2 linked regions of the Alligator mississippiensis genome follow. The protein of the gene in region 1 interacts with the protein of each later gene in a pairwise test. Links are inferred from orthologs where the notes say so. Each region holds a gene or a part of one and is shown on either strand. Other genes may lie near its edges. The genes, in order: zinc finger and BTB domain-containing protein 8A-like and KIF9.

Region 1 (11,937 bases):
CCTCTTGAAAATGTCCAGGTATGGAGATCCCTCTAGACAGCCTGTTCCAATGTTTGACCACCCTCAGAATGAGAAAGGTCTTCCTAATCTCCAACTCAAATTTCCTCTGCTGCAGTTTGAAGCCATTACTTCTAGTCCTCTGTGGCTGCAGAGGACAGAAAAACTAATTTCTATCCCCTTATAGTTGCTCTTTGGGTATGTAAAGCCTGCTATCAAATTCCCCCTCAGTCTTCTTTTCTCCAGACTAAATAATCATAGTTCTTTCAGTCTTTCCTCATAAGTCATGTTTCCCAGGCCTCTAATATATTTTTTTACTCTGCACTAGACTCTTCTATTATGTTAATTTCTTTCTTGAAGTGTTGTGCCCAAAACTGGACACAGGACTCCAGGTGAGGCCTGACTAGTACCAAATAGAGTGAAAGAATCACTTCTCTTGATCTGCAAGAGACACTCCTTTGAATACAACCCAGTATGCTGTTGGCTGGGTTTTTTCAGGTTGGTTTGTTTGGTTTGTGTGCAACAACAGCACACTGTTCACTTATATTCAGCTTATGGTCCTTTGTAACCCCCAGGACTTTGTCTACAATACAGCAGCCTAGCCCATCTTTCCACAGTCTGTATCTGTTTATGTAATTATTCCATTCCAAGTGCAGGACTGAAGAAACCATTTCTTCAGTTTATCCAGGTCATTCTGAATCCTGCCCTTACCTTCCAGAGTACCTGCAAATCCATACAACTTGATGTTATCTGCAAATTTGCTAAAGTGCACTCAGTGACACTGTCCAGATCATTAGTGAAGATGTTGAACAATTCCCAAGACAAGCCCCTGGGAAACCCACCTTGATACTTCTTTCCAAATAGACATTGAGTCATTGATGACTACTTGTTGAACACAGTGATCCAACCAGTTGTGGATCCACCTTAAAGTGCAATTTTCTGTTGCAAAGAACTAAAAAAAAAAAACCCTATTGCAGTTATCTCATGAATCACATGGGTGTTTGCATACCTAATAACACTAATATAATTTGGCGCCCTTAAAAGGTTCTCACTGAACCCTGGTTGAGAATCACTGCTCTCATTTACACCATAGTGATAATCTGGGGGAGTGGAAGTGGGGGCAACTGGTCATTCTTCCTAGTCTTCAGTGCTACTATTACGATTTGCCAATGGCCTATGTATTTATGTGCACATAAGCAGATAGCTATGGAAAAGTTTTAAGAGTCTAAGTTTTTGTACACTGTTGAAGCCTTTTCAATATACTGTTGTTACAATTGCTAAATGAAAAATAAGGCCCCAAGAAAGGCCTACAAAGCTACCATAACAAGTAAACAAATATATGGCGTTAATTCTGATTATGACACAACATTTAAACTATAGGTCAGAACTAATGTAAAATTTTCCAGAGATTATAGATTCCACTATGCTGTATCACTCTGAAAAATCTTACTTGTCTAGTCTATTTTTTTAATAGCTATTTCTCTCACTTTGCTTCTCCATCTGTATTTTGCTCACAAGTCACCACATGCAGCTGCGGCTCCTTCACTCTGCCACATGGCATAACTGCAGCTGCTTTATATCCTCCAGCCACCCTCTCCTACTTCTCTGTTGGCATACCTCTTCTCCATTCTCCAGTGCTCCTGCTCATCTCCCCACTCCCATCTATTTTACCTCCTTCCTGAAATTGTTCTTTAAAACAAGTATTAAAAATTAGACAAAATTAAAACTTAAACTTGCTTGCAAGTCCACCTACTGACACATGGAAAAAATATTAATTTTTTCTTTTACTTTATGCACTGGCAGTATTTTGTGTACAGTCAGATTGTTTAGTCAGTTTGTTTCCTTATTTGCATGGATCTTTCACACAGTGGCAGGAAAGAGGAAAAAGTGATTTTTAAGACACAGCAAACTGGTAGACACCAGAGAAGTTCCAGAAATTATTTTTAACTCATTTGAGGGACATTCACTCATCTACAAAGGGGCCAACAAGTTCTTTATACCAGATCTGAAATACTATATTGGACTTTCTGCATCCTTTAAACAAGGGTGGAACTCACTCCTTTTCAAAAGTATTACATTTCAAGTTGCCTTATCTTTAAACCACTTAGAATACTATTCCATGTAAACTTTAAGAAAACTGGTATATTCACAGAATCATAGAAAATGAGGGTTGGAAGGGACCCCAGGAGGTCACATCTAGTCCAATCCCCTGCTCAGAACAGGACCAGCCCCAACTAGATCATCCCAGCCAAGACTTTGTCTACATTGGTCTTAAAAACCTCCCAGGATGGAGAGCCCACCACCTCTCTGGGTAACCTGTTCCAGTGCTTCACCACCTTCCTAGTAAGAAATTTCTCCCTATTCATACAAAGCAGACTAAACTTAAAATACCAGGCACCCATACCAAATTAAATTATTTTAACACATACAGATATATACACATTAAATTAAATCACGCACTCATTGTCTAAAATACATACTGTTCGAAAATGGCTACTTAGGTGATCTAGTCTGCTAAATCTTTTTCCACATGCCTCACATGGATAAGGTCGTTCTCCAGTATGGCAACGAAGATGCCGCTTTAGGTCTGCTTTTCGCTTCACCACGTGGGTGCAGAATGGACATTTGAATCTCATCCTGGGCAGGTCATCTGTTGTAAAAAAAAAAAAAAAGTATTTTATATATCTGAAAGAGTCATATATACAATATTGTGACCAATTCTAGAAAGAAACACATTTCTACTGTAACAGTTATGCAAATTAAGAAAAACAAAAAAGCCAGCAGAGCTACAAGTCATTTTTCTTTAGAAGAAATAGTATCGCCTATCTTTTCACTTTCACAGAATGTCAGAGTCCTTGCACATTAAATTAAAAGGAGCTCAGTAAAAGAAAAAGCAACTGATCATCACCTATGCTGAAACTGCTAAGATTCAAAATTGAAAATATTGACTGAACTGCCAAGATGAAGCTTACTGTATTTTGAATAGATAGAAATCTATCTATCTATCTATCTATCTATCTATCTATCCATCCCTAAAAAAAAAAAATAATAAAAAATATAAAGTTAGGCATATTTTCCAGTCATTAGTTCAGAGTATTATATCAATTCTCCATTGAAACTTTGGTAGAAATAGAAGAGAGAGATACAAATAGCTAATTCGTACCATCAGCCCAGCCTCCCATTACACCTAAAATTGAGGGTATGTTGGCATATTGCTCGTCTGCTTTTGAAGACTTTGACTTGCTAGAAGAACGGGGCGATTCATGCTCTTGCTGCGACACAGCTAAACTCCTTGGCAGCACATCAGATCCTTGACCATACTGGTACCCAACATGGGGAGATTCAACTTCTGCTTCAATTTGAACTTGCTCTTCAGATGGAGACATGTGGCTTGTAGGCTCTGAAGCTCGGTCTTCGAGCTTACTCGATTTATAGTGGGGAATGTCAGAAGACTGTTGCAGTCCTAGGTGTCTGGGCTTTTTAATGGAATCCTGCCTTTGGTCATGTTTGGCCAGTTGCTGCTGTGTACTTCGAGAAGATGGATAGTAGGTGAAACTGCTCCATGTATTTCCACCCATCATACAAGACCCTTGCTCTGGACTTAGGTGAGAATGAGGGGGGCTGCTTTCCGCCCTCCAGCCAGCACCATACAAGCAGGAGCGCTCCACACCATTTGAATTTACATCTTTGTCTGACAGGCTGAAATAGCGATCCTTCTCTTTCTCACTGATGTCCAATGATGACTTAATGAATGTCTTACAAACACTAATAACATCAGTCATCTGAAGATAGCTGGCAGCTGACATGACTTCAATGACATTTTGACCAGTGAGAGACAGTTTGCCTGAATAAACAAAATCTAGAATAACGGTAAAAGTGTCAGGAGAAAATGCCTGGAAGGTAGCAGTTGTTGGCTGACTAGTCTCCTTTGAGCTCTGGGAAAGGAGCATCTTGAAATAGCCGCTACTGGCAAACAGCACATTTCGATGTGCTTTGAAAACCTTCCCCTCAACCAGGATATTGCAGTCGCAGAACAGGTCTTGCCTGCGTTGCTCATTGAGTTGCTCCAGGAGATGAAACTGGTGGGAAGAAATCTCCATCCCAAAGCGATAAATGGGAAGTGCGGCTCTAAAAACAGAGAACAACAACAATCTTGACTTGGACACTGTTGTAGACGGAAACAAAAGCTGCTAAACCCAGGTTCAAAAACTAAGGTCCTTTAAAAAAAAAATATACATGGGACACAGCATATACCATCTGTTTTGAAAGGAAGAGACAACTTGCAACAGTGTAGCGGTAGAAGAGGAAGAAACATGTCAGTAAATACTACATCTTAGCCCAACTTAAGGTACTGCAGAAAGCTCTCCCGTGTCTATACTAACCACACAGTTATCCAATAAAAGATGTCGCCCCCCAGCACGTGTGTGCTGCACCATCAGGGCCCCCTCCCTGCTACCACAACACCGCCCAGTCCCTGTCTAAAAGCCCAAAGGACTCGGTGCCGACTCTACACCGCCCTTGAAACTCAGCACGGAGGAGGAACCAGGCCCGCAGCAGTTATGGACACCATGGAGCAAGAGCCTGTGTTGCGAGCTAACGTTACCTGGCTGCCTTGGTCCAGCCATGGGCGCACACATCTTCAGAGGGACCGAGGAGCGACCAGGGAAGGAGACAGCGGCAGGAGCCCGAGCGGCAGCGGGGCCGCCCCCTCCCCGCGCCATTGGCGGAGGCCGCCGTCACTCACCCGCACGCCCAGTCCGGAGCGGCCCTGCAGCCCCGGGAGCCAGGGACGCCCGACGGCGCTAGACACGCCCGCCGACAGCGCCGAGCAGCCGCTCGCTCCCAGCCGCAGCCCCCGCGCCGCCCGCCCGCCCTCCCGCCATCGCCTCCGCCCCCGCCCGCCATCGCCATCGCCGGGCACGGAGCCCGACACGGGCTGCAGGGCGGCCCCCGGGCGCCTCGGGACACGAGCCCGGCAGCGCCCGCCCGCCCCAGGCTGCAGCGCGGGGCCCCATTGTGCGGCTCCCCAGTGCCCCGCGCAGCCCAGCCCGGCCCGGCCCGCCTCCCTCCTTCCCTCGCTCGCTCGCTCGCTCCCTCCCGCCGCCCGGACCCGCTCCGCTCAGCCCTTTGTTGCCTCCTCCCGGCTCCTTGCAGCCGCGCCCGGGGCTGCAAATGGCGCCCGCTCCGCTCCCGTCCGCTCCGCTCCGCTCCGCGCCGCTCGGGCTGGGCTGATGCTCGTCTCCGCGCAGCGCCGGCTCGGGGCGTCGGCGGGCAGCGCCCAGCCCCGCCGCCAGCCCCTGGCGCCCCGGGGCCGCCCCAGCGCCGCGCCAGCCCCGCGCCCAGTCCGGCCTGGCGGCGGGCTGCGGAGCCGCCACTCACCGCTCGGCTTCGGCGGGCTGCGCCGCTCGCTCGCTGGCTCGCCGGTCGCCGCTCGGCCGGGGGGGGCAGCGGGACGCGCGTGCGGATCCCAGGCCCCGCTCGGGCTCGCCGTCGCCTTCACGGCCCGTCCCGCAGCCCCAAGCCGCGGAAGCCCGAGCGGGAGAGAAACAAAAGGTATTTGCTGACGTGGGCGTTGGACAGAGACGCCCGAGGGCTGGGGACACAATTAAAGGGGCAACGCACCGATTGCAGGCGCAGCCCAGCAGCTTCCTCCGCCGGAGCTCGCCCGCAGCCCGGCTGCTTTCCTCTTCCCACGCCCACATGCTCCCCACGAGGGAACGCGACGCCCTAGATGCCTATTTCCACACCTTTTTGTGTAACGGGGGCCTTAATGACCCAGATCCTTCTTTCATCCGTCCATAGGTTCCTCAGATGGGATTTACTACTCCTGTCTTTCTTCGTATTCTTTTTTCTCCCTAAATAAGCCATAGTGCCTCAGAGTCTTCTTTCTAACCCCCTCATCTTCTCCCGTTTAAGTTCTGTTGTCTCATGTTCTACTTCTGTTCCCATCATGGCCCTTAATAGGGCTTTGATGCGCCATTTTTTTTCTCAGCAGTTTGTTCTCCGAGGAACCATCATCCTGCCTGTATCTTGCAAGGACGAGGGATATTCAGTTTCTTATTTTTCATCCCAACCTGTAACCTAACAATGGTTATGCCATCCCACTTCCATACCTTACACACAGATGAGAAAATAATAGTTTTTCTCTATTATTTTGAAGTTCCGTGGACATGAAATGAAAGCTCCAGCTTTGAGTAAAAGAACTAGAATTTGGTTCATGTTTTATGGGAAAGCAGGATCATAGTGCACAAATGTACAATTACTGAATACTGAGTCCACAGAATGTGGTGTTTCTTTGTTTAACAAAGCACAACTTGCAATTCTTTGCATGATTATCTGTGCATACTTTTTTACTTTTTCCAGAGGGGATCAAATAAGTAGTCACTTCCTCAGAAAGCCTTGGAGGAAAGCACAGCCCTCCTCCTGTTTCTGCTAAAGGTAGCTCAAAGTCCTTTGGATAGCCTAAAGCAGTATGTCTTAGTACTGACTTTAGTTACAGGCAGTCAAGTTACAACATTTCACACTTACAACATTTATAAATTGACACTGTTTCAACTTTCTGACCTCAGTTTCGACTTTACAAGGCTTGATCTGACACCACGCCACGCCAGCAAACAAATTTGCTCTGCCACCCATCTCCCTGGAGAACATCTGTCCAAACTTCCTTGGACACCGCCTTTAAGAAAGCAGACAAGACTCCAGAAAAACCTGCAGCCAAGACTCCTGAGCAGACTCCAGCCAAAAACCCTTCAAAAAGTCCAACCAAGAGCCCTTCAACAAGTCCAGCAAAGTCACCTCAAAGAAGTCCTTCCAAATCAATATGATTGCTATTTATACTAGAAATACATTAATGTAGCTATATTACTCATCTATAATTGATTGAGTACAACATTCTGAGTTATTTTTGGTGAAATAGGGAATCAGGCCTTGGTTCAGGAACCAATCCCCAATTTGTAACATTGTTTCCTATGGGAAAATTGGTTCCAAGTTACAATGTTTCAACTAAAGGCAACGTTTTCAGGAACCAATTGTGTTGTAAGTCCGAGGACTGCCTGTACTTTTACAGGGTGCATCTACACATGCACTTTACTGTGGAGTCGACTAATTAGCTCTGCAGTAAAGTGTCACAGTCTACACATGCTCCGGTATTAGGGCACAGTAAATGAATTAACTCTGCCATAGTCTGGTATTGTTGGGGGAAGTCCTATCCTTCAGTGGAGTAATTACATGCACTGAAGTGTACATGTAGACAGTGACAAGGGCTGGCTGGGGCATGAGGGTGCTAAAGTGCAGGGGGCTGCCTGCCACCTAGCTCCACTCTTTAGCACCCTTGTGCCCCAGCTATCCCCAACACTGCCACCTCCTGGAGCCCAGAGCTGACTACCCCCTCCCCCCCGGGCCTCTTGCCAGCCAAGGGTTGCTCTGCCACAGCTCAAAGTGCTGCAGACCCTGGAACACATACAGATGCTGTGCCCAGGAGCAGTTTTCTCCAGCATGCTGTGCCAGAATTTATCATGTTACATTCTTTGCACACGTAGATGCACCTACAGTGTCAGTACCACATCATTCAGGATAAAAACCCTCTGAGTTTCTGTCTTCGGGTTTGACCACTTGAGCACCAAACTGTACAGGAACAGGAGAACTTAGTGTCATCACACTTGCCAGGGTTCAGAGTTGTAGCACAAGTAGCATCCCTCCATAGGTAAAAACAGCTTCTTAACTATTGAAGATTTGGAATACATTTCTCCATTCCTTTCTCCATTGGCTCCTGTTAAATTGGCTTAAAGGGCTGTTCTTCATAATCCCCACACTTTCATACTGAGTAAGGATATTAGACCTCAGGTTTATTATAAACATGCAGAGAAACCATAGAGGATGACACTCAGATTGCTATTTCCTGCCTTGGCTACCTACCATTAGCCTGTACTCCATGCTTGTGGCTCTACTGCGCTCGAGGAAACCCTTAATATTGAGAACTGCCTATGTCCTCTATACCCTCCAGAGGAAGGTTGACTGTTTACTTGAGTTTACCAGATCTCAGGCAGGATAGCAACCCCCCATTCCTACTGTTCAACAACAGGTTCACACTGTAAGGAAGCACAGTCTTCATAAACTTGACTTCCTCCTGCTGCATTATTGTCATTGTCACCCAAAGAAATTGTAGTAGCATCTTTGTAAACAAATGCTTCTGAAATGATGACAGAACAGTTCAGGAGTTTTTTAAAGTTGTTTTCTGAGAACACTAGAATCTCTGCTGAAAGTTGTGGGGGGGGGGAATTATAAGCTTCTACAGATATTATATATTTCTCTGCCAGAGAGAAAAGAAATGCCAGTTAACTAAATTGTTTTAGAATTCTCTCTTGTAAGAAAGAGAGACTGTAAGAAACAACACCCACTGTATCTGTTGCTTTGAGGAGATACTAATCCAGTTCTCAGCATTTTAATTCTTTTATGTGCACCCTGTACCTGCTTTTCCACTTGTAGTCTACTAAATAAAGCTCCATTTCTCACTGCAAAGAAGGAGAGTAAATAACTACAGTCAGATTCCAAATGAGGATCTTGACAATTAAAAGTTCTTCTTTCCAAATAGGACTCCTCCTGTGACATAAGGTTTTGGCATTCCTGGACAAAGTACTACAAAAATGAGAGGCCGTTCATTTCAAGAATCTCATTTTAGCATGTTCTGTGGCAGTAGCTGCTATAAAAATGAGAGATTCATTTTTGTTTCTGAGTTAAATAGCGCTCCCCCTTTACAGGGGAAATATTCAGTATTATTTTGAATGTCATGTGGAATATGAGAGGATTGTCATCTATGACACATTACATATTCTTAACATCTCATGACATTTTAACTTGTTGGGTTTGCAGCCTCCTCAGATGAAAAGAATGGTATAGTCGATCTCAATCAAGGCAACCCTCATAATCTTCTATTGAGCATGCCAGGCCATCTGAAACACAAAGGCTGTAGCTATCTGCAACAGCCAGAACCACCACTGTGCAGCCATTGCCATCCAGCAGATATCAGGTTAGATGGTTCTGTTAAGAGCTGTTCCAGGTCAACCACCATGGATTTTTTGTTGTTGTTTGTTTCTTATTCCTTTCAGACTATCATATTTTTGGAAGATTGAAACAATGTCATCTGGACTCACTGTTCTATTCAGTTCCAATCTGCTTCTTCCCTAAACATTTGCTTTCCCCATCCCTTTTCAGGGACCCATCACACAAAGATCCTACCACAAGAAGTTATCATTCTGTTGTTTCCCACAGCCATATAATTCAGGAGAAAGAGCTTTCATCATTCTCTACCTCAGTCTTCAAAGAGAAAGAAGATGAAGAACTGCTTTGGATTTAGATTAAAGTACATTCAGTTGACACCACAAGTTTAGGAATGCCATCCCTATCCTGAGTAATCCATTCCCCAGATTTACAAAATTGGTTCACACCTCTTGAACTTCAAGATGCACATCCACATCATGGATTTCAGTCCAAGAAGTTCATAGGAGATTTTGTAGTGGCAATACAAAACATGTTTGATAAAGAGTTCTTCCATTAAACTCATGAACAGTCCCAAAGGTGTTTGTGAAACATGTAGCAGTTGTTGTGGTGTCCTTCACAACAGGACACTGGAGTTTACCTTTCCTCAGTGATAGGATGATTCTGGGTATGGCTTCTCAACAAGTTTCTTTGTTATATTTGCCAACAGTTTGCCAATGTGGGGCTCAGAATAAACAAAAAGACACCTCTGTTGAGTCCATCACGAGAAATCTTACAGGAACTCTTCTGAATTCCATCATAGCATATCTACCTTGACACAGATTTGTGATCATGACATACGCTATAACTCATTGCAGGACAACCCTCACACAGCAAGAACATGGCTGAGAGTTATGAGTATGGTTTCATGCACATTCATTACTCATGCAAGATTTGATCTGTGCAAGGCTGGCTGAAGCTTATTTACACTCCAACTCCATCCCAGTGAGGATTTTTAGATGTGTGCTTTCTTCACGGATGGAAAAATCCTTGCAAGAATGTCTTATTTGCACTTCTTCGCATTATTAACTTTGGTGGTCAAAACTGAGGAGCACCCTGAGATAATAGTTAAACTCAGGGTTTGTAATCAGATGAAGAATCTCATCTGTGCACATATTTTGGAATTCAGAGCTGTTCATCTAGTATGCCTAGCATTCTTACATTTAATCCAAGACAAGTCAATACAGGTGATGACAGAACGCTACTGCTGTGTGTTATATAAGCAGACAAGGAGGAGCCAAATCATCTCCTCTAAGTCAGGAAGCAATACAGCTGTGGGAGTGGTGCATCAAATGTGAAGTATCTGTCACTGCGCTATATAGCAGAACTAACGAACAACCTTGCAGATTGGCTACACAGACATTATTGGCTGAGCAGACTGCAAGCACAAATGGTCTATAAAGAATGACTTTTTTCAGCAAGTTTTCAGAAGCAGCATCAGCCAGGTCCAGAAGAGAACAAAAATTAAACATCTTTTGTTCAAAAGGAGCCATTCATAGGTGTCTATCAAATATCTTTCCTAACTCAATGGTTTTAAGGTTTGATGTACTTTTACCCATTGATCCCCACAACACCACATATTTTAACCAGACGTAAGGGGACGCTGCAATGATATTATTTCCACTAATTATTTAAGAATCGCTTGGCCCAGGCAATTTTGGTTCCCAGACAGGTGAAGATTGTCAATATATGCTATAGTAATGCCTTTCATTTCAATTTTAATTTCTTAAGATAAAAGACAGTTCATCCAGATCCAACATTTCTCTTCCCTTCAGCTTTAATGCTTAGTGCTTAACTGATGTGAGAGAAGTTTTGCTTCAGGGATGTCTAGAATATTTTGATTAATAGTAGGAAAGACTCTGAAAGGTCTACTTATGATGTTAAATGGAAAAAATTTACCATTTGGGCTCAACAGCATCATGTTTCACCTTTTCCAATGGATGTTCCACACATTTTAAGTTGCCTGCTCTTGCTAAAATCAACTAGACTTCCTGTTAGCTTCATAGCTCTCTTAGCTACAGCTTGCCTGTCACCCATACATTCAAAATCATGGAGTATTTTCACACTTTATATTATCTAGGAGTATTCAAAAGGTTTAGTGAATTTATTCTTTACAGTTAGAGAGCTCATTTTCTCATAGGATCTTAATACAGTATTAGTGAATTCAACAAGTTCTCTATTTGGGAAAAAATACTGATAATTACTTCAGCTCCTAGCATGGGAAAAATTCAAGCTTTAATGGTAGGTCCTTCTTATACCATTTTTCTTAAAGATAAGGACTTTCCAAGTTCTTGCCTAAAGTAATTTAATATTTTAATACTAATCAGACCATTAATTTACTTGCCCATCATCTCCAAACCTTATTATAGGGATTCTGAAAGAAAATTACAATTTTTTAAATAAAAATAGTATCCTCTGGAGACCAAACTATTTGAAGTTTTTTTAAATATATTAGTTAGTCTATAGTAGAAGAGTGAAAGGAAAGGTAATTTCTTCCCAGATAGATTTTAGTGTATGAGACCACGCTGTTGAATAGCTAAATTGTATTCCCCTGTTCAGATTAAGTCTTAATCTAGTAGATAGGTGGCTTTCTTTAGCTGAAATTCCTAGAGCTACCTCTTGGAGTTCATTCCATCCATTCATGCTTGGATGGTTACATTTGCTTAAGCAAAGTGGTTCTTCATGCATTGTTTGGGTATGATTCCACTTGGCTGTTTTCTAGCATGAAGTTACTGGGAGTCACCAAGAGCAGGATATGTAGATAACCATTCAAAAAAGAAAAAGCTTTTACTTACACTAATCACATTTTTTTAGAAGAGTTTTCAAGATATATTCTGCAACCAACCCTTCCCTGGTTTAACAGGGTCCATAGTTGTAAGGGTTTTTGCAGGCAAAGAAACTGAATAA
Region 2 (12,464 bases), on another chromosome or scaffold:
CTCAGCCAGTTCCTGGGCAAACTCCTGGTCTAGCTCAGGACTTTGGGTGATCTCCAAGGAGCCCCTGGGATCACTGGGTGGTGACAGCATGGGGCTGGGTCCTGAGGCAGAGCCACGTACGAAATTTTGGTGAGCTGTTGCAGGGCCAAGGGACAGGGAGTGCTGGCCTGGCCCGTGGCAGCTCACCAAAACCCCCCCAGTGGCCCTCTGGCCCAAATGTTGGCTCACCCCTGCACTAGAGGCTCTGCACAGGGGCACAGACTGTGCAAAACCCCAACAGCACAGGGATGAATTACTTCTGTTATGTTTGGACATTCCAGTATCAACTTTTCAGGACAGTCATTTGCTTACTGCTCACCTGAGGACAAATAACCTGAGGCAGGGTTACAACAGGGGAAGATATCACCCGTGCCCCAAGCAGAGCAAGCCTCTCCGTTCCTTTCACTACTTTAGCTGCTTCACTATCCCTGTTATTTGCCTTTAAATGAATACTAAGTGCACAGATACAGAGTATGTAGATAGTCTACTATCTCATGATGACTTACCATAAAAATGAAAAAGTACCTTTCACCTGAGGGTCTTAAAGTACTTATGTCTGAACAGCTTAACAAACACCCCTGAGGGCAAAGAGGTATATCCATTTCATACGAGGAAATTTCTTTTTCAATATACTTCTTAGACTGGAAGATTCTCACCATGCCACCAGACTAATGATACTCACCAGCTAACACAGAGAGTGGCTTGTGAGGCCACCTGCAGAAGATGAAACACGCTCATGACTACTGTTTGTATATTAGTATTTAAACACAGATTGAATGCTAGTGAAAGAGTGACAGCCCCGGAGCATGAAGCGCTTTCTTTATCCGAAGAAAAGGGACAGTTCAGAGAGCAGATCTGTAACTTTTCACAGTATCTTGTCAATGGGCTTCTACCTGAACCTGAAGGTTATAAACACATGTGCTCTGTTTCTTCAGCTGCAGCAAGAATCCCGGCAGAAGTAGGGTGACGGGACAGTTCCAAGTGCAAGCTCTAAAAAGAAAGAGAGAGAGAGAAAAGCTTTGGAGCAAGTGCTATTTTCATTATTGTAATAAAGTTCATTATTCATTGTTAGAAGAAAGAGAGTCCTTTCGTGGTTCTTCACCATTGTCACATGAGAGAAAAGTCACGGCTGTAAGAAAGGGGCATTCAGCCTCTATGGCCCACTCAGCCCTTGGCCTTTCTGCTGTCACTGCTGACTGGGATGCCAATTTGCATCGCTGTTTTTATGACGTGGGCACCACAGAACTGAGATCCATCAAGGTCGTTCCATACAAGACACCCAATAGTCTCCCAGGGTTAGGAACAGTGATTCCTTCAGAGAGGTTTTTACTGAGCAGCCTAGAAACGAAAGGCCCCATAGCCCACAGCCTCCAAACCTCCAGCCAACCGTGGATTTTTCAGATGGTATCTGTGGGGGAATCACAGACATTTACACATGAGGATTTTTCCAGCTATTTGAGTTGGTCTAATAAAAGATATCAGATTTACCCAAAGAACCTTGTCTGCCTATGTCCTTAGACCAACACGGCTACAACTTAAACCCCACACAGGCGTTTACTTATTTTTATTGAAGCGTTAAACATAAAATTACATGTATAATAGGCACGTGAGCTGAAACGCCCCTAGCTACTCCAACAACTAAGGCAACAGGAAGAAATGCCTAGATGAGATTATTAGCAAGGTCTCCCTTCACCCTTCACCAACAGCATCTCACCAGCACCCTACAAGAAGCAAGCACTAAACAACCAGCTTCACAATACACAGCCAACAATAAAAGGGGACAAGGAAGCCGTAGCTCTCACCGGAGTGAATGCCATGCTTCTCTGGTGGGGCTAGAGAAATCACAGGTAATAATCATCATGCTACCAGTGGAATACTGGCAAATGTTTGCACTTGCAGCAAATCTTTGCTCTCAAATCTATTTACAAACTACAGGCCTAATCCTGAAATCCTTACTCAGCCCTTGCTGGGGCCTGGAGAGCAACGTGAGTTTTCCTGTAAGTTCTGAGTAAAGACTAAGGATTTTGGTAATTGGAGCTATACAGCCACAGCACCGAAACACAGCTGACTCTTGCGCGGAGGGGAACTCAACATGTCACACAGCAGAGCAGGGAGAAAGGGGGTTCTTGGTTGAGGATCTCGGCTCGACAGCTCAATTTGGACAGGGCACAGGTTGGCACCAAGCTGGCCAAACACAGGGCAGAGTGGAGGAGGGTTGTTACAGCATCTAAGGTGCCCCAATGGTTGCAGCGGCCTCGGGACTGATCTGACCCAACCTGACACACCGGCACAGTTCAGGGCCAGGTAGAGCAGGCAGCAGAGTGGCTTGAGACCTTCCCACAGCAAATGGCTCAGTTTATCTACCTTGGGACAGCGAGCTGGGTCAACTCTGCTGGAAGCCGAACATGAGACAAGCAGGCTGAGAAGAATGGGATTGGACACCCAGACAGGATCATAAAGAAGTCGGGCTGGGAGGGACCTTATGAGGTCTCCTAGCCCAGCCCCTGCTCAAGGAAGGATTGTCTCTGACTCAACCAGCCCAGCCAAGGGGCTGTGCAACCTCCTGAACATTTCCAAGGATGGAGATCCCACAATTTTTCTAGGCAGCCTATTCCAGTGCCTGATCCCTCATAATCAAAAAGTTTTTTCCAATCTCAAACCTACATTTCCTCTGCTACAGCTTGAGGCCTTTGCTCCTACGGTCACAGAGGAAAGCCCATCTCCATCCTCTCTATAATCGCCCTTCAGGTATTTGAAGACTGCGATCAAATCCCTTCTTGGTCTTCTCTTCTCCAGACTAAATAACCCGAGCTCTTACATCCTTTCCTCCTAAGTCCAGGCCCCTGATCATTGTTGTCACCCTGCATTGGACTCTTTCCAACCTGTCCACATCCTCCTTGAAGTGTGGGGCCCAAAACTGGACACAGCGTGCCATCCAGGTGAGTGAGTGGAGGAATCACTTCCCTTGACTTGCAGGTGACACTCCTGTTAATATAACACAGGATGCTGTTGGTTTTTTCAGCAATAAGAAAGCACTGCTGGCTCATACTCAGCTTATGGTCCACTGTAACTCCCATGTCCTTCTCTGCAGCACTGCAGCCGAGCCAGTCATTCCCCTGTCTATATTTGCACACACTTTGTTGAACCTCATTTCACTGATTGTGGACCACTGAGTCATTCTGGATCCTGCCCTTCAGAGTATCTGCAACCACACCCAAATGCTATCTGCAAACTTGTCAAAGATGTCCTATTGGCTTTCAAACTCAATATATCTCCTCTCAGACTACAGTCTGCCAAATTAGGATATCAAAACCATGGCTTTGATCCCGCAGTTTGAAGGAATCCGGGCATTTTTGCATCGCTTTTCTGTCCCAACCACTCCAACGTTCAGAGCAAGCGCAGGTTTCCCAAAGGGACAGTGCTGCCATCTTCACCGTGAGCAACATGAGATGGGGACAGCGTTGGATGTGAAAAAAGAAACGAGTGGCAGCGCAGCCCTGTGGGTGGAAGTGATGCAGACAACACGGGATACCTGGGACGTAGGGATGAAGGGGAGCGAGGCTGAGAAGTACGGATGGAGAGAGCAGCAATGAGCAGTGATAAAAGTGATGCGGGGGCCGGGGAGGCAAGACTGAGGAGGAAAGGCTGGAGGACCCAGGGGTGGGATTTAGACCGAGGCGGGATTTGATCACAGTCTTCAACTGTCTGATGGAAACGGAGAAGACAGAGACAGAGAAGATGGAGACAGGCTGTTCTCTGTGACCGCAGGGGACAGGATGAGGAGCAATGGCTTCAAGCTGCAGCAGGGGAAACTGAAGCTGGAGATGAGCAGGAACGTCCTGACTCCGAGGGTGGTCCTGGTGCCCGTCCTCAGAGGTTTCCGGGAGTAGGTTGGAGATGCCGTGGCTGGGCTGGGTGACGGTCGCCGCGTTCGTCCGAAGCCGAGCAGAAGGCCGGGGGAGTCGGCGCTGTCCGGACGAAGCCGAGCAGGGAGAGCGCAGACGGCCAGATACGCGGGAACCCAGAAGTGCTCCTGCCCCGACCAGGGAGACGCCACCACGCCGGGGCCCAGCAAAGCAGGGGCGAGGGGGCTGCAGGGCCAGGCCACAGGCGGGGGCTCACCCCGGAGCAGAGGCCTGTGGAGCCTTGAGACCCCTTGCAGGGGGATGAGGTCACATGACAAATGTACTCTGTCCAAGTTTGCAGATGACACAAAGCTATGGGGAGAAGTGGACACACCGGAGGGCAGGGAACAGCTGCAGGCAGACCTGGATAGGCTGGACAAGTGGGCAGAAAACAACAGGATGCAGTTCAACAAGGAGAAATGCAAAGTGCTGCACCTAGGGAGGAAAAATGTCCAGCACACCTACAGCCTAGGAAATGACCTGCTGGGTGGCACAGAGGTGGAAAGGGGTCTCAGAGTCCTAGTGGACTCCAAGATGAACATGAGCCGGCAGTGTGACGAAGCCATCAGAAAAGCCAATGGCACTTTATCGTGCATCAGCAGATGCATGACGAATAGGTCCAGGGAGGTGATACTTCCCCTCTATCGGGCGCTGGTCAGACCGCAGTTGGAGTACTGCGTGCAATTCTGGGCGCCGCACTTCAAGAGGGATGCGGATAACCTGGAGAGGGTCCAGAGAAGGAACACTCGTATGGTTAAGGGCTTGCAGGCCAAGCCCTACGAGGAGAGACTAGAGAAACTGGACCTTTTCAGCCTCCGCAAGAGAAGGTTGAGAGGCGACCTTGTGGCTGCCTATAAGTTCATCACGGGGGCACAGAAGGGAATTGGTGAGGATTTATTCACCAAGGCGCCCCCGGGGGTTACAAGAAACAATGGCCACAAGCTAGCAGAGAGCAGATTTAGATTGGACATTAGGAAGAACTTCTTCACAGTTCGAGTGGCCAAGGTCTGGAACGGGCTCCCAAGGGAGGTGGTGCTCTCCCCTACCCTGGGGGTCTTCAAGAGGAGGTTAGATGAGTATCTAGCTGGGGTCATCTAGACCCAGCACTCTTTCCTGCTTATGCAGGGGGTTGGACTCAATGACCTATTGAGGTCCCTTCCGACCCTAACATCTATGAATCTATGAATCTATGGCATCACGATGGGGGGTAAAAACAGGGTGCGGGGATAACGTCATGCTGACGTGTGCCATAGGGTGAAAGGGGGTGCAGGGAGGATGTCATGATGTCTGGCATGGGGTGAAAGAGGGTGCAGGGATCACATCATGATGACATGTGGCATGGGGTGAAAGGGGGTGTGTGGGGATGATGTCATGATGTGTAGCATGGGGTGAAAGGGGGCGCAGGAATGATGTCATGGTGACGTGCGGCATGGGGTGAAATGGGGTGTAGGGATGACGTCGTGATGACGCGTGGCACGGGATGAAATGGGGGCATGGGGGATGACGTCACGATGACGCCTGGCATGGGGTGAACTGGGAGGAATGGGGGTGACGTCGTGATGACGTGACACGGGGGGCAGGGGGCGCGTTACCCGCTCCTCCGTCGCTCCCTCCGCGCCGCGACCGCCAGGGACAGGTCGGGGGGGAGGGGCGGGGTGTGTACAGCGTTCCCATGGCTCCCGCTACTTCCGCCCAGGACCGGAAGTACTCGTCGGAACGCGGAAGTGAGGTCCGGCCCCTTCCGGCCGGCGCTGGCGCTGGCGCTAGCGCAAGGGGGCGGGGTCGCGGCGCTCGGCTACGGCGGCCGGGCGGGGACAGTGCGCGGCGAGGCGAAGCGCGGCGCGGCTGGGCGAGGCTAGACGAGGCGGCTGCCGGCCGGCGGGCGCGGGACGATGCTGGAGGCGGCGGCGGCCGAGGCCGAGCTGGACGCCGAGGACCTGGTGCACTTCTCGGTCGGGGACCTGCCCAGCCGCGGCTACGGCGTCATGGGCGAGATCCGGCGGCAGGGCAAGCTCTGTGACGTCACCCTCAAGGTGCGGGGGGGAGGGGTGGGGGCCATGAGGTAGGGGAGGGGTGCTGGGGTGTGTGCTGGGTGGGGGATGGAGGGGCAGTGGGGCGGGCGGGGGAGGGGTGCTGGGGTGTGTGCTGGGTGGGGGGTGCGGGATGGAGGGGCAGAGGGGTGCTGGGGTGTGTGCTGGGTGTGGGGGTGCAGGATGGAGGGGCAGTGGGGCGGGCGGGGGAGGGGTGCTGGGGTGTGTGCTGGGTGGGGGGTGCGGGATGGAGGGGCAGTGGGGCTGGGGGCCATTGGGACGTGGGGGAGGGTGCGGTGCGGTGTGGGGAGCGCGGCTGGCCCATGCGGTGCTGCAGCCGCAAGCCCCAGCTGCCCAGGGCGAGGGCATCGGCTGCCTGGAGCCCCTCCCAGCCAAGGCAGAGCGAGGGTGGGGGTGACATGACCCGGCCCGGCCCTTCTCTGGTTGAGCATTTGCCCCGTTGCCAGCCCCCGGGCGCCAGGCACGAGCCTCGCGGACTCCAGGGACGTCTTCAGCCCTCGGCCGCGTGGTCCTCCCTCCCTCCAGCCGGAGCCGCTTGACCCAGCACTTGCCGGTGGCAAAGGCGCGCGTTTCGGTAGCTGTTGTGTGTGTGCGTACATGCGCGTGTCGTGCTGGTGGTTACGGTGCAGAAATACTGGCCGCGGCGTAGGAACCGGATGACAGGCTAGCGCAGCGTGGACGGTTCGACGCCCGAGCTATGGCAGGCTTCGGACAGGGAGGATGTCGCTGCTGGGCTGGAAGCGTTCGTCGCGTTCCTCGCAGGCTGCGCGAGGAGTTCGCATCTCCCAGACGTTTTTACGTCACACAATCAGCAGCTGCCGTTGACGCGCCGATGTTGTCGGCGAAGCATCCGAGGCCTGGATGATCTGGGCAGTCATGCTGCTGCCTCCTCCTTGCTGTAGGCCTGCCGTTGGTAGGGCAGAGATTTGCACCGCGTCTTCTGGACGTTCACCTTAATGTGGAGAGACAGGAGTAGGAACCCATTATCTTTTAAGAGCATTATAGTCCCTGCCTTAAAGAGACTATAAGCCAGTGTTTGTAAAGCCTGGATAGGGCTTGCCGTGCTGTGTCATGCAAGTGATCCCATTATGATGCCTGTGGGAGCAGCTGGTGCCTCGGCAGGAGGTGCGGGAGTCTCTGTAGTTGGTAATTACAGACCTGGAGTTAATGGGCACAGGCGTTTGGTGGACACCTATGGTGCTGCTCTCACGCTTAAGGTGTGCAGACTGGTCACTCGGTCGTACGAATCACATCTCGAATTCAGCACTGATACGTTCCTCGGGCGACACAAATGGAGTTCATCCATCCACTTCCCACTGCGTAAGACAAGGGTTGTGTAAATAGCCCTTGTGTTCTTCACTCCAAGTATTGTGGGCGATTTGTATGTAAATGGAGACTATATGGGAATATTCAAGCCTTAAATGAAGAGTATATGGGGATATTCAAGCTGCACCAAATAGGATTCATTTCAGTTGCCCTCAGGATCTTCCTGAGAGAGTGTGTGTTTTGTCTGGGTGGTGACCGTGGGCACGCAGACACGGCACTTCATAACAGGCGGGCAATTAGCTCAGACTGGGGCGCTAATAATGCCAAGGCTGCAAGTTCGATCCCCGTATGGGGCACAAGGTATTTCCTGCCTCAGAAATCAGCGGTTCTCAACCTTTTCTCTACCAGGGGCCGTTTGTAAACCTCGCTGGCCACTGCCGACCCAGTGCCCCTCGCTCCCACCCTGCTGTCCCAAGGCCCCAGCCCTCCAGTGTGTGGGGCATGGGGGGCCCCAAGCCTGCAGCTCTGCCAGCTTGTAAGGAGAAAAACATGGGAAACCGTGGCTTTTCCCTTTAAAGGATAATCTTTTTAAAGTTTGATCCATTTTTTTCCAAGCTTGTTCCCGACCCTTTCATATATTCTTGCAATCCACTTTTGGGTTGAGAAACGCTGGACTAGATGACCCCTAGCGGTTTCCTCCCAGCCGTACTTCTCTGTGACTTCTACGACCCGGTTCCTCCAAATAAACTGCCCCAAAAAGAGACGTTTGGAAACTATTGGATGATTCATGTTTTCGCCGAAAAATACTTCTTTGTCGAAATGGAGACTTTCCCTGGAAACGTTTTCCATTAGATTGGAGATGCATTTTGTAGGATGGAAATTCTGGTCAGGCCAAAACAGGCCAGAGTGGTCGGTCTAGTCCAGCGGGTAGGGCAGTCGCCTGGATGTCAGCCCCAGGTTCAAGTAGCCCCGAGCTTTGGGTGTAGGTTTGCCACGTCAGGGGTGAATGCTTTGGTTGTTGGTTCTTCTGGGAGGTGCCTCTCTCCCTGTTTTCAAGATCTGCGTCTCGGGAGGACAGGCGGGGAGATCTTTGTTCTTCTGTACAACAGCAGCATTTTTAGCATCTCAGTTATTTTTGAGGGGGGATATCCATGTTGTTTCCAGCAAGCATGGTGTTGTAGGAAGAGAAATCACAAAAATCTACCAGCTCATTTGGCTTTTGGCTGGCAGAGGACTGAATGGCCCTTTCAAAAATCAATTTTGAGGCATGTTTCTGCAGGAGGGGCTGAGTTTGAAGTACTTTGGCCTGTGAAGTAGCTGTTCTGTAGATTAAGGAGGCTAAGGCCCCCGTGTCTGTATTGCCTCCCTGGTGAGTCTTAGACCACTGCTGGGAAATGAGCCCTGTTCTTGTCTCTTCCCCGCTCTCTGACATGAGGGAGCCTGGGACGGGTGCTGGGGTGTGCATTCAGGACCCCCCAGGCTGACTGTGCTGCCTAATTGCTAGGTCTGCACGCACAGCTGGAGCAAGCGAGTTGGGCTTGTCTCATGGTGGTGCCGGGCTCAGCAGGGAGGCCGGAGACTGTTTATCAGCCCAGCTCCCCTCGGTAGCACTCTTTTCTCTGAGAATAAATTAATCACGATCATGAAGTGTCCTCCTTCTCTGCCACTTCCACCTGCTGACAGCTGCCTCTTTCAGCGTTGGCTCGCACAGTCCTTGCCAGCTGAGCTGACATTGTTGACGGTCTCCAGCCAAGCCTTTTTTTCCCCTCTTTCCTTCAGTACAGGATGCCTTCTCCAGGCTCTTTAGTATGCATTGCAAGGTGTTGTGGAAGTCAATTTTATCAGATTAACTTTGGAAGTGTCTTTTCAGCCAGTGTAGCAGCCACTTCACTAAGCAGCTGATTTAAGAAATGGACTTTTTCCTTGACCTTGTCGAGGGCCACCCTCAGTGTGTGTTGATGAAGTTTTAAATGTTAAAATGCCTTAACCCCAAAAAGGGCTTACAAAGTGGGTTGCCTGGGAGAGGTTGTATTTGACTAAAGCTCGAGCGAAACCCCGGGAGGAACAATATAGGATGGTTTAAATCTCATTTTTCAAACAGAGGGGTCCCTGTTGGCAGCGGGGCTTAGTGCATGTTTCACGATGAAAAGGCTTGTTGCCATGTTGATTCTCCGATACGGGCTGTCCGAAGGGACGATGTGTACTCTGAAAACCCTTGTGTTCGGTGACCTGGCTTCTCTCCCTTGGCCTTGCCAGGATTAAAGCGCTGCTCTGTGTTTCACCAGAAATGGGAATGAGCACGGTTACTGAGCTATAGCAGGGTTCAGTTCAATAATAGCCCCCTCTCTAATAATGAGCAGAGTTTTAATGGTGCTAGGGGTTGAAAGCTGTAAATGATCCCGTGTGTAGGCAGGACCAACGTTGTTCAGTAGCATCAACTCTTGTCTCTGGTTTTTTCCCCCTTTGAAGCACTGGAAATGATCAAATGAAGGAGAAAGAGAAGCTGAATGAATGTAAAGGGAAGAGGACCTCTTTGGTTAACATGCCGAGTAGTTAGCCTAAAGCATGAGTATTCATTTAGGAGCATCTTAACTCCTGTGCTAAGGTTGAATTTAATCTTTATTGTCATCAGTGGGCCAGGGTTTGAATTTTAAAACACTCAGTAGGAAATGTTAAATGTTAAAAATCCTTGTGTCATCAGTAAAAGTATGGGACTGCTGTTCCTTCTCTCTCTTTCCTCTTCCCTCAATTAACTCCTGCCTGCTTTCTCCATCCCATCTTCTAAAAGCACCAGTGATTACGTAGTTGGAGGAGCCCTTAAGGCAACTCTAAAAATTAACAGAGAACATCTCCGTGAGATGAGCAGAGGCGGCGAGGATTTTACAGCTGTCAGATGTCCTTTTTGGCCATTAGCAGGGTTAGGAAAGCAGTGCTGTGCCACGCTGCATCCGTTTATTCTTTGCTCGTGTTTGAAAGAGCAACTTCGCTGTCGTGACATCTGGAACGGGATTTTAATGAAAGAAACGGAATCTGCCATCCAGGCCACATAAATGCATTAAGTGAACTGGGCATCTGCCACCCCCTCGTTCTTTAATGGAAAATTACATAGCTGAAAATAGAAATGTTTAAGTAATAGTCATAAAAAGAAGAAAACCACCTTATAAGAGTGGCAGCTTTGTGTCAGGTTTGCAGCATTTTCTTCCAGTTTGTTCTTCTTTTGGAGATTTACCATATCTGCGGTTCCAGTCGCTCCCCGGACCAGAGTGCTGTTTCAGCAGCAGATGGCAGCTTGTTTTAGATGTGATTAGAGAAAGAAGTGCTGATTTGATTGGATCTGTCAAATCTCCGATTACTCTAAGCCAGGCTTAGGGAAGTCCGTCACTGCTCCTCACGATCACCTCTCTCTGATAATAAAATTTCCAAGCCGGAAGCTGAGCTGGGTGTCTGGCATGAGCATGCAGTGCTAGGGTGTACCCACTGAGAACTGAGGCTCTTGTGTTTATGCACCGACAATTAGGGGTTACCGAGAATACAGATTCAAAAAAGCCATTCCTTATATCACGCCGTTGACTGGTTAAAAACTATGCACTGCTTTTTAAAACCAATGCAGACTTACTGCCTCTCCCAGCCCCACTTCCTTGGACAACTGAATTACTTGCTGAAATGAAGAAAAAAAATTAGGATGCCTTTAAGGAGATAAATGAAAATGAACGGAGGCTGCTTGGATGCATTCCTCAGTCCATGACTGTGCTGTTTAATTTCCCTTTCTTGGCTATAGGGCTTTATGTTTACTACAGCCAGATCTCTTCCAGTTGCCAGCATCTCCCATCGCTGTCCTCGGTCTAGGTCGCTCTGCAGTTCGCGTGGCCTTGTCTATGTTTGGAAACTTGCAGCAGTACAACAACTTAAGGCCCACTTTTGTTACCCTGGGATGAGTTCTCCAGCACGCCAGGCCTGTGTTTCTCTCCTCCAACGCTGGCGATGTTGACCACGGTTGACTTGCTGCCAGAGGGACACCATATATAAAGCAGTTGCAAAGGATGTGGAGAGGAAGCTATTTTTTTGAGTTTGTATCCAGAGGCTTTTCTGACCAAATCCTAGAATAGGCTACAACTGCCAGCTAACAGATGGTTTGCTTTGGACTATTGCAAAAATACACTTGGCACCCTATGCCTTCGTGTGTCTAGTATTTAAGAATTAGCACTCAGTTTAAACTCCTTCTCTTTTGCAGCTAAGCTGGATCAGGGGTGTCAAGCTCATCCCAGGCCCTCGGCTGGATCCAGATCTGCGGGGGGCCAGCAGCTGTTGTGGGTCTGGTGATGAAAGCCAGGGTCTGGTGCAGTGGTGAGCGTCTGGTTCATATGCAGAGTCCAACCCTTACTTGCCATCCTGCCACCAATAGCCAAGTCCAGTGAGGCTCAGGGGGCTGTGAATTTTGCAGCAGGCCTGTGGGCTGTATGTTTGATGCCTCTGGGCTGGGCCCCTGTTCCTGGCTGAGTTGGAAATGTAACAGGAAGAGTTTTTTGTGCATCTAATCATAGACTTATATGGCCTAGAAGGTATCTCTAGGGTCATCAAGTGCAACCCCCTGCCCAGATGTGGGATTTGCTGTTCCTAAGCCTTGCCCCGCGGCTGGTTTCATTGTCCTGCTGTTCTTGCAGCCAGGAGGTTTTTCCTGAGCTTTGTTCTAAAACTGCTTTGCTAAACCCATTGCCATGCGCCCTGCCCACAGAGAACTACAGTCTAGAGACACGTGACAAAGAACACCCTTTAAATTATCCGTGCTCTTCAGAGTCTTGACTGGTTCAGGGGTAACAATATAGGTGCATTTAATAACCCATACCTGAGCAAAAGCCGGTTACGGTTAGTAACCCCAGCAGCCCAGACAAAACTCTTCAATACTGTGGTTATCAGCTGCTGGGTCAGATAAGATTAAATCCTTGTTAGATGCAGAGCTGTTTCCTAGGATAAAACCTAGCAAGACTTGATTTATCTCTGGTGCACATGACCTTCCCATTTCTGGGTAGAAACTGTATAAAGCAGGTTTTATGGGCTTGCCTTTACTGTAAGAAATCATGCCTTCCTAGAGGCAGATCTCTGCATTGCTGAGCACAATCTTCTTTGCAGCTCTGGCAGACATGGCCACATAGTTGGCTTATGGGCTGTTCGTTTGGAAGGAGGAAACGTGGTCTAATAATGAAAG

The links.
Region 2: the proteins of zinc finger and BTB domain-containing protein 8A-like (region 1) and KIF9 interact in binary tests that used the Homo sapiens proteins (3 or more experiments, as listed by UniProt). The two-hybrid records come from large-scale screens. The link is inferred for Alligator mississippiensis from reciprocal best matches to the Homo sapiens genes ZBTB8A and KIF9.

Annotation. Positions count from the first base shown.
Region 1 is NC_081829.1:5,428,000-5,439,936, forward strand, and holds the start of zinc finger and BTB domain-containing protein 8A-like, read right to left. Parts: upstream 5,612-11,937; 5' UTR 5,377-5,611; intron 4,841-5,376; exon of another isoform or gene 4,601-4,840; intron 4,126-4,600; 5' UTR 4,098-4,125; coding exon 3,161-4,097; intron 2,648-3,160; coding exon 2,478-2,647; intron 1-2,477. UniProt on the Homo sapiens protein: May be involved in transcriptional regulation.
Region 2 is NC_081828.1:216,967,516-216,979,979, forward strand, and holds the start of KIF9 (kinesin-like protein KIF9), read right to left. Parts: upstream 5,642-12,464; 5' UTR 5,537-5,641; intron 1,030-5,536; 5' UTR 933-1,029; intron 1-932. Other genes in the region: KLHL18 (kelch-like protein 18), read left to right, coding at 5,837-5,977. UniProt on the Homo sapiens protein: Essential for normal male fertility and for progressive motility of spermatozoa.